2 linked regions of the Schizosaccharomyces pombe genome follow. The protein of the gene in region 1 purifies or fractionates together with the protein of each later gene. This does not show direct contact. Each region holds a gene or a part of one and is shown on either strand. Other genes may lie near its edges.

Region 1 (5,589 bases):
ATACGATAAACGTTTAAATTGCTTGGTTCCTTTAAAAACTTTTCAGTTTTACGTTACAGAATCAGATCAAGACTCAACTCCTGCTACTCCTTTCCCAATGCCCATGCATCTTGCAGAGGAAACTGCAACTAGTCCAGAAATATCTGATGCTCCACCTTTATCCGGTAACGTAGATCCCCTTCCTATCAATTCTCCTCCTCTCACGAATCCAGTCGCAAGAGATATTGACCAAACCGAACCCGAAGATGGTCCTCTGTTTCGTGCTACCATTCTTAATTATGAGCGAACTACTCATGATATGCGCATGGTTTTGAAAAAGTTAATAAAACGTATCGAGCACGTAGCACATTCTCATGGTCTACTATATATGTCTTATAAAGAGCTCATGTCAGCATTTGAACGTGTTGCTACCATTAACCCGCCCGCATTTAAACCCTTCTTAGACCATTATTATGCTGCAGCTGCTCAATCTTTCGATTCCTTTAATATTGATCGTGCTCGTTTGCTAAGAAACTTTCTTATTGAGCCTTTGCGTAAAATTTATGATACTGATATAAAAAATGTATCTACGAAAAAGAAAGATTTTGAGGAAACAAGTCGTGATTATTATACCTCATTGTCACGCTACCTTTCTAAAAGCGAGAAAGAAACATCTTCAGATAAAACTAAGGAATCTAAATTTGCTGCTAAGAAAAGAGATTTTGAGCTTTCTCGGTTTGACTATTATTCTTATATGCAGGATATTAATGGTGGCAGGAAAGGCCAAGAGGTTTTATCCGTCCTAACATCTTTTGCTGCAAATGATTACAATCTTATTCACTCCTCTTTAACCGATATCGATGCTTTGCGTCCTAGTATAATACAATTGCAAGACATTGTTACAGAGGCCAACAAAGAATTTCAATTATTAAGGGCTGAACGAGAAGAAAGAAGGAGATACATAGAAACTAGTAGTCGTGAACTAGAAGATAAAGATGCGGAAATAGCAGCCCAAGCATACAAAGCAAAGGTTGATCAGGACACGTCTGCTAAGCAGGGGTTATTACTTGCTTTTTCGAAGTCGACTAGCGACTTGCAGGTTGTTGGAAAATCCGGGTGGCATAAATACTGGGTTGTATTGGATCACGGAAAAATATGTGAATATGCTAATTGGAAGCAATCACTGGAATTACACACTGAACCGATTGACCTTTTAATGGCCACCGTTCGTCCAGCCCAGTCTGTGAGTAGGAAATTTTGTTTTGAAGTAATCACCCCCCAAACTAAAAGAACTTATCAAGCTACTTCAAAAGCCGAAATGCATTCTTGGATTGAGGCTATTCAATACTCTATTAGTGAAAGCATTGTTCAAAAGGGGAAGGGTACGTCTATGAATTCCGAGGAAACTTCGGTGAAACACGGTCCCACCTCGACAATTGGTAAAGCTCTTCAACGTGTTGCTTCTGTAACATCACCGAGTCGTCATAATTCCGATTCAAAAGAGAAAAAACAAACAAAATCACCTTCACTTGTAAAAACGTTAAAAGAGATGCACAGTAGCGACCAATCATGTGCGGATTGTAACACTACTGCGAGGGTTGAATGGTGTGCTATTAATTTCCCCGTAGTTTTATGCATAGGTAAGTGCTAGTATGCAGCCTCTAAACTTTACTAACAAGAACAGATTGTTCTGGTATACATAGATCTTTGGGTACTCATATTACAAAGATTCGATCTTTGACTCTTGACAAATTTAATCCCGAGACCGTGGATTTGTTGTATGCAACTGGAAACAGTTTTGTCAATGAAATCTATGAAGGTGGAATAACGGACTGGAAAATCAAGAACTTTGAAAATCAGGAGCGTCGGGTTCAATTTGTAAAGGACAAGTATTTGTATAAACGATTTATTAAATCGTCATTTTCACACGATCCTAACACAGGCCTTTTGGAGTCTATTGAGCATAGTAATCTGAAAGAAGCTGTCCTATGTTTAGCACTGGGAGCAGACGTTAATTATCAAAGGGCTGTTGTAAAGGCTTTATTGAAGAACAACTATTTAATTGCTGAACTATTGACGTTGAACGGTGCCAGTTTGAATGTTGACGAAGTTACTATGGAGACGCTTTCAGCGCGGGCGCAAGCGTTTGTGATGAATAGAGCAACTCCTTGAAGGACAACTTGTAAATTTGAAAGAGGAAATAATGGTTTTTTAATTCGTGTGTATATTGGAAAGCTGAGTGAATTTGTTGAATATGCTGGTATGTTTGCATAGATGTTACATAGGTATATATATAAGCATGAAAAGCACACAGAATAAATTTTAAGATATTTCGAACGTATTTGTAGCGTTATGTGAATTGTACATATACTCAATGCATAATAATAAAAAATCTCAGTTACAAGGTACGGAAACAACAAAATTTACAATAATAGTTTTACGCGAGGGACAGAATGTATTGAGTTTTTGGCGAGAAAGGAACCTAAAGTAAGTATCTACTCTAGTCTTGTTGCTTAGATTTTCTCTTGGCAAGACGCTTGCCTGTACCAAAGACCTTCTTGCCTCTGTTCTTACGTTGCTTGCGTTGCTGACGAGCAACCTTTTGGATAGGCTCAGCTTGACCAACACGAACAAGACGGTAGTGAGGCTCAAACTTCTTCATGGACTCAGTAGAGTCATAGATCAAAGCGAAGCCGGTAGATCTGCCACCACCAAAATGAGTGCGAAGACCAAAGGCTTGAACGCATTCGGAATCAGTCTTGTACATTTGAGCCAACTTCTCACGAATTTCATTCTTGGAAAGGTTAGCCTTGCCAGGGTGAAGAATGTCGACGACCTATAAATTTCCGTTAGCTGATGTTGAATTAAAAATAGACCAAAAGGTCAAATAGCGGGAAGCTTCATCAAATAAACATACCATCTGCTTTCTTTGAAGCAAGCGGTTAGTCATAAACTTGCGAGTTCTAATTGTCACGGCCTCACTCATTTTAGAAATTTTGGTGACTGATGGTGGTAAGGAAAGGCTCTCACAAGGGATAGCCATTTGTTTGATGTTGTTTGTGACTGCTTTTTGGACTTTTTGTAATTTAATGAATTTCTTAAACAATACCTAAATGTGGTTTAAAGTTTTTTATTACTAAATCGTTATCACGTTTACAGATTCTTAGCACTAGGCTCTTGACATCACTGTTTATGTGCTACTGTGCACCAGCCATCTTGTAAATAACGTACATTGCTCACCGTATGTAAACAATTAAAACTAATTCCTATTTGTTTTAATATTGCTCGAGGATTCCAAATTGTACAAATTAGCGTCGCTGCTTCTATCTTTTGTTTAAGATTTCACCTGTAATTAGATAGTTGACGGCAATATCTATAACAATATATCTTAACTCTAAGTAAAATTCGAGAAATTTCATTCGGGATGTCCTTTACTGTTTGGTCTAAGACCGAGCCTTTCAAGCTTTCAGCTGTCCAAGAGAGTTTGATAACTTTAGAACATGACAATAAGAGATTGCTTTTAACGTATCGTGAAGAGTCCAAAACATGGGATATTGATTTAAATGGATTCCAAGACATGGACGTTAATGAAATTTTGCAGTTGGCGTTTCTTTCTATTTTCTACGTATTCCCTACTTTGAGAACAGAAGTCGTTCTACAGTGGGCAAACATTGAAAGTCAAAAAGGAACTTTGAGCCTTCCTGTTGAATACAATGAGTTAGAAGGTAATGTCTCGATTGACCGTATGTCTTTTTGGCAAATCCCGTCTCCTTGGATGTACACAAGATGCAGTGATTGGCCTTTATCTTACTTACCGAACCAAGTCATTCGTCGTCCCAAATGTCCAAAACCTGGTTCCACTCTGTATGAGCGATTTATACCTAGCTTGAATGAGACACTTTCCTTCGTATCTCTTGACATTGAGCAACATCTGCAGTATTTCCATGAGTGGCAGAACAAACCGAGAGTTGAATACTTTTGGAACGAGTCTGGTTCATGGGATCAACATCATGAATACCTAACAACACTTCAAAACGATCCTCATTCTTTTGGTGTCATTGGCTGTTTCAATGATGTGCCTTTTGCTTATTTTGAAGTTTATTGGGTTCCTGAGGATAGAATTGCTCCATTTGCTCAGCCTTGGCATACACATGATCGTGGTTTCCATGCCCTTGTAGGTAATGACAAATTTCGCGGGCCTCACCGTGTCCCCGTGTGGTTATCCAGTATTACGCATATGTTATTTTTGGATGATCCTCGTACTCAGCGTGTACTTCTTGAACCAAGAATTGACAATTCAAAATTTATTAACTATTTGATCGAAGAAAATTACTCCAAACGTTTGGAATTTAATTTCCCTCATAAACGTGCCGCATTTATGGAGATTACTCGTAACATGTTCTTTTCATGCTTAGGCCCTCGAATTTAGTACGACGATTTTTTTTGATTTTTTGCTTTTACAAGTATAAGCAATGTAGATTTCATTCCATACATTTGAAGTCTTAATCAATTATTCAACTATGTTTTAGTAATTTCATCAGTCATAAATAATATTCACAAGAAAGGTACGAATATAATAAAGATCTATCGATATCTATCATCTCTATAACGTCTATCATATCTATACCTTCGTTCAGGAGATTTATCTCGTAAGTGATCATCACAATTTTTATTTCCAGTATTTCTCCGTTTATGGTATGAACGATCATCACCGTAGTAGTTAGAAAATCTTTCATTTCTAAATGAACTTTGATCGTCACGATGATCACGCTCTTTCCGTCGATGCCTATAGTCGTCTCGGTAATTAGATCTGTCATAACGACCATCAGACCTACGGTGGTACTCACGATCATCACTACGAGACGAAGAACGTTTTCGGTCCCTATTGGAGTTGTAATATTGTCTGTAACGAGCCACGCTTTGGGAAAAATCTACGTGAATTCGAGAATCATCAATTAAAACATTTTGCATTTTAAAATAAGCTTTTTCAACACTTTCTTTGTTATCAAATTCGATAAAGGCATATTGAAGACTATCGCCTGTTTCTTTATCTCGAATAACTTGGCAGGAGATAATTTTTCCAAATCGCGAGAATATTAACTCTAAATCTTCATCTTGGGTAACGGGATTTAATTTGCAAACGAACAAAACGTTTTCGGGAGGAGCAACATGAGCAAAGGGTAAATCACCAATCATTTCTAGTGTAACAGCCTCTGCTTCTGCCTCCATTTCCTTCTCTCTTTGCAATTTATCTTCCGATGTTTCTGACTCAATTTGTTCGTTTTCCCCTATACGTACCGTAGCTAATTGTTCAGGCGTTGGAGACGGTGACCGCAAAGGCTCCACTAGATCGGGTGGATCCTCAAACGGGTCATCTAGTATAATTGTGTGTTTTATACGAATATCACGATAAGGCTGACCCTCTTCATCGCATATAGCGTCATTGATTTTCAGTAGCGTGTCAAAGCCTTCAGCAACCTGTCCATAAATTGGGTATCTTTCATCAAGTCCTTCTAAATTGTCTGACAAAGTTATTATAAACTGACTACCACAAACAAGTAATTTGTCATCTCTAGAAGATATAGTTGCTGTGCTCATACTAACCAAGCC
Region 2 (5,144 bases), on another chromosome or scaffold:
CGAGATAACATTAGCAACAGTGGGTGTTAGTTCCAAAGCAGCGATTTTATAATCATATATTAAATACTCCAAATTTCCGATCAAGTTCTGCCTTTTCGAAGTCACCAACGTCAGACCGTTATTCCAATTTCCAAAAATTTCAAAAACCGATACATCAAAGGTCACGTTGGCAAACTGCAACCAAGCATCACCACGTTCAAGCCCAAACATTGGATATAAATACCCGTGGGATTTGATAGAATTGGTAGCAGCTCGATGAGAGATTGCAACACCCTTGGGATTTCCAGTTGAACCAGATGTGTACAGAACATAAGCAACGGAATCAAGGCTTTCAGGAAAGGGAAAGGGGGGTATCTCATCATCGACTTTGATCTCCATTGACTCATTATACTCAGGAACCTTTAATATAATTGTGTTATTAGGAAATCGATTAACAAACTCTTCAGAGACAATAGCAAAAGACGCATCAACATCTTTACTGATAAAGTGGACCCTTTCAGTACGAGTTTCTACATCAATGGGACAATAAGCATTACCACTGTAGAGGATTGCAAGAATACCAACGAAAAGAGCAGGTGAATGAGATACCATAATAGGAACTACCTCATTCTTACATGTAACGAGTTTGGAAAGTTTTATTGCCAAAGAGTGAAGCTCGAGAAAAGAAAATGATCTAAAGGTATCCTCCAGATCATCGCCAATTTCATATATAAACTTCAAAGCATCTTGATAAGGGTGAGAAAGAGTATTATGATAAAAACACCCGTGTAAATAATTAGCAAGAGATGAAGAGTTTAAGCATAAATCGGAACAAGGAGAATTAAGGATGGAGAAGGGGAGGTCGTAATTAGTGATTTTTGAGTTAATCATGAAAAAAAGTAATCTTGCTAAATCATCATCAAACAGAGACGAATTCCATTTTAAAGTAAGGAAATTGGGAGAACAGACAAAGGCTATGTCGGCAACCACATCCATAGATCGAAAAGCGGTTATGTCTGAAAAATAAGATAAAAGTTGATTCAAACATGGTTTAGATGATTCAAACAAATCGTCAGCAAAGGATGGATCTCGACGCGAAGTGAAAACGGCAGAATGTAGTTTATGTAGGTGAAAAACTTCTAAGGGTTCTAGTTGGGAGTTTGTAGAATGATATAAGTAGCATTGGCAATTTTTAGGATTAGTATTAGGAATCACATCGTCTGAAACAGGAAAAAAAAAGAATGAAACTTCTCCACCAGTGATACCACAAAACAGCCAACTCCAAGCGTCCAAAAATGCAGAGTAAGGATGTGAAAAGGGAAGTGATAAAACGTGATAGGGGGCATCACTTGACGGCCGCATAGGACCTAATTGAGAAATTTGAGTTGAGAAAGCATCTTCTTCATTTGAATTCTTCATAAGTCTCAATCAAAAAATTTAGTGACACGGAAATATTTTATAACGAAGGTGTTGTTTCACAAATGTATCAATAGCTAAAGGATGTATTAATCCTTCATTAAAACACAGTAGCAGTAAGAACCAAGTAGAGGAATATCCTGCTAAAATATGGATGCTTGTAATATTACACCACCCTTGCTTAACGAAGTTTAGTTACGTGATTTGGCGCAGCCTTAAAGTTCGTTATAATGTGCAATCAAAAAGGCCTGTCTAAACAAGGCAATCAACAAACTGGAAGTTTTTCGGGTGACTATTTTCATCGGAGTTTGCTCTTTTAAGTGAATTTTTCAATACTTTCGAAAGATCATGAAAAGCCTCATTACTAATCTTTTCCGAAATTTAAAATGGAGAGATATCAAATGAAGTGCATGTGACCTAGATTTTCGCTTACAATATTGCCCACTTTACCACCTTATATTTATCAGATCGATAGAGATCGGATGAAGAGAGTCTAGAAGATCAACGCGGGGTGCCGGTCGGTAAACCTGAGTCCAAGTAAAGGGGACTTTTTGTAGTGGAAAACGAATGAATAGAGTTTTCCATTTTTTCTGATGTCTCATTTAATCGATGCCATTCTATTAAAAAAAATGTGTTGTAACACACTTACCACTTCCTTTTCGCTTTACTCCAGATTTGCTTCCGCATAGTTCAAAAAACTACGGACTTGCGAGATACAGAGCATGCGACCGCAGCATAGAGAAAGTGGATGAAAAGGGGAGGGAAAGAAGATGACAGAGAAATATAGACCTTGGTATGCGGTAATTTTAACGATTTTCAAATAATTTCATAACAAAGACTCGGTTTTCCGTAATACTAAATTTGGCAGTACACTTTTCACCTTCTGTTTATACCTAAGAATACAAAACGATGCTTAATTTTAGGCACTTCTTATTTTTTGTTTATTCGTATGTACGCGAGGAGAAAACATATACCTGGCGATGCTTTGTTTTAATTTCCCATAAAAAAAGAATTTCGCTCAAGAAAAACAGAATTTTCATTTCACCATCCTCTTTTTTTTAACGGTTGTTTATGCTTCGAGATTTTCTCGGATTTCACAAAATTTCCACCTTAACTGCAGTTACGTAAGGGCTTAGCGCTATGACGGAGAAAGCGCGACATATGTTATCGAAAGGGAATGGACTCCTTAAAATACATGTGCTCATATACTTCCATTATATAGGCTCATTTTCGCACGTATTGTGGGTTGGATAACAATATTTTAAAATCGACCAACAATCTTCTTGCAAACATTTGTAGTAGTGCTAGCCTAATTAATTTCAAAAAGCCGCGCATTCTAGAATATCGTGAAACTTGGTAAGTATGAAAAGGAAAAATATGTTTTTTCGGATAATGGAACCAAGTTTTCTAATATTATTGCTTGCTTAGGGAAAATCCCTAATTATCTAATTAATTCATTTCGTCCCTCTTTCTTAAAAAAAAACCTTTGGAAATAAGAAAATGACTGAACCTCTAGATTTAGCAATTATTGGATTTGGTCCCGCTAGTCTTTCTTTCCTTATTGCTTTGCATGACCATTCGGAGGAGCCCTTAAAGAACAAAAAAATCCGCGTGTTTGAAAAGTTGCCCACGTTTTCCTGGCATGAGGGTATGCTGATTCCTGGTTCAAACATGCAAATCTCATTTGTAAAGGATTTGGCAACGCCCAGGGATCCTACTTCTTACTTCACCTTTTTAAACTATCTACATTCGCATGGCCAGGAACGATTATCTGGTTTCCTTAACATGTCCACCCTAGAGCCATCTCGTTACGAATACCATGACTACTTATGCTGGGCAGCCAGCCATTTCTCCAAGTTTGTCGAGTACAACGCTAACATTAATAAACTCCATTACGATGCCGCAACTGATCTGTACATTGTGGGTCACGGTGATACTCAATGGCAAGCGAAAAACATCATTATTACTACGGGTTGTCAGCCGTATATACCACCATTGTATAAATCAGTCGACAGTCCACTTATCGTCCACTCCAGTAAGTTCATGTCAGATCATAGTCAAAAGTTGCTTCGAAATTCCAAACACGGCATTCTCGTCGTGGGATGCGGTCAATCTGCTGCTGAAATATGGAAACACTGTCATTACTCTCTCGACCCCAAGACCCCTTTGGCAATGTGCTTTCGCAATTTGGCCCCAGTTCCCAGTGACTCAAGCCCTTTTGTGAATTCGCTTTACTTTGACAGCCATAACTCCCATTGGTGGTACAACCTTCCCACTGAAGCTAGATTGAAAGGACTAAGCGTTGGCCGTACTACCAATTACAGTGTTGTCAAAGAGTCACTATTGGAGGAGATGTTTAAGGAGTGCTACTTGCAAAAACTGAGGTATGGTCAAGAATTCCATCAAATAATGGGTGATACAGACATTCAGTCGATTAAGAACGAAGGCGATCATTTAGTTGTTCAATTGACTAGTCAAATGGACAAAAGCAAAAAGCCTGAAACTCGTAAAATTGATGTCCTGTATGTAGCTACTGGTTATGATCATGAATCATTCGATGTCTTAATGTCCTCCCTTTTTCCCAACTCGCAGGGCGCTCAAATTTCTGAGGAGTACTGTGTACTAAACGCCCCAAGTAAACAGGGAAAAGTCTATGTTGCCGGCATTACCAGCAATCAACACGGAATCGGCGAAACCCTTCTTAGCTGGGCTGCTATCCGAGCTGGTGGTTTAGCCAAGGAACTGTTTGGTCCGAGTAAACCAACTGCTCGGGTCCCTGCTTCTTATCTTAATTGATTCTCAGCTTAACTATTCACCTCATTTGATGCTTCGCCGTCTTTCATTATCTTTTATTCTTTTTACAAGAACATAGAGAAATCTTCGACTTTTGCATTTTCTTTTGAACCTTTTATTCGGTTTACGAATCTCTACACTGTATATTTGTATAGATTTCGATGACTTGGTCAATTTAAAGCTACTGTGAATATTTCCCTTCATTCGCCCTTTCATGCCTTATTTCGATAGTAAGTCGTGCTATCCCAATTTCTTACGTGACAATAAAAGGTATTTTGACATTCCGGTCGATTAAAGACGACTTGATACAGATATCCATATAGCTATAATGTATTTTGCTAAATTCGAGCTTACTTTTACTTAAAGACCCAAATTGACATACAAAACGTAAGCAGTGAGTATGCTTAACATTATTAAATAAATTAATTTTGATTTCACTAAAATATTTAAGCGCGCTTATTCGTAGAAAAATTATCTTCACTGCAAAGCATGTTGTTCGTTAAAGAAATTTTATGTATATACACTGGAGACATGACGGTGCACCAAGTCCAAGCTGGCGAACTATGGGACGGCAGATCCCAACGGTGGAACACGTTTAGTTGATACTTTCCACCTCGCATTCAAATTTTTTTCCTGTCTTCTCTTATTCCAAGTTACCTTTCAATTTTGGTCTTTAAGAAAGGTTTCCATCTTATTGCTAAATAATTTGAAGAGAGATAAATTTAAAGAAAAGGAAGTTTAAGAAGTTTTTTATCCTTTAATCAGTGTTTTCGATTTAGTTAAAAGAGTTCGAAAGTTATTTGCTTGGTGCTCTTACAAATTACATATTTGGGTAATTATAAACATATAATGAGCGAAACTTTAGTATTACATTTAAAAGTGCCAACTGAAAGGTTTCGAGAAGTTTTAAGTTCCTTGAAAGAGAAGCAAAACTTTACTGCATCACCATCTTCTCA

Evidence for each region. The genes of interacting proteins can lie anywhere in the genome.
Region 2: the proteins of sib3 (region 1) and sib2 purify together in Schizosaccharomyces pombe (affinity purification with western blotting, with the first as the bait; one study listed by BioGRID). This does not show direct contact.

Annotation. Positions count from the first base shown.
Region 1 is NC_003423.3:2,178,307-2,183,895, reverse strand, and holds sib3 (siderophore-iron biosynthesis protein), read left to right. Parts: upstream 1-3,199; 5' UTR 3,200-3,403; coding exon 3,404-4,408; 3' UTR 4,409-4,555; downstream 4,556-5,589. Other genes in the region: centaurin Cnt5, read left to right, coding at 1-1,619, 1,664-2,151; rps2402 (40S ribosomal protein eS24), read right to left, coding at 2,480-2,815, 2,897-2,965; RRM-containing cyclophilin Rct1, read right to left, coding at 4,564-5,589.
Region 2 is NC_003424.3:868,130-873,273, forward strand, and holds sib2 (ornithine N5 monooxygenase), read left to right. Parts: upstream 1-2,663; 5' UTR 2,664-2,751; intron 2,752-2,823; 5' UTR 2,824-2,895; coding exon 2,896-4,191; 3' UTR 4,192-4,644; downstream 4,645-5,144. Other genes in the region: ferrichrome synthetase Sib1, read right to left, coding at 1-1,398; Ino80 complex subunit Ies4, read left to right, coding at 5,038-5,144.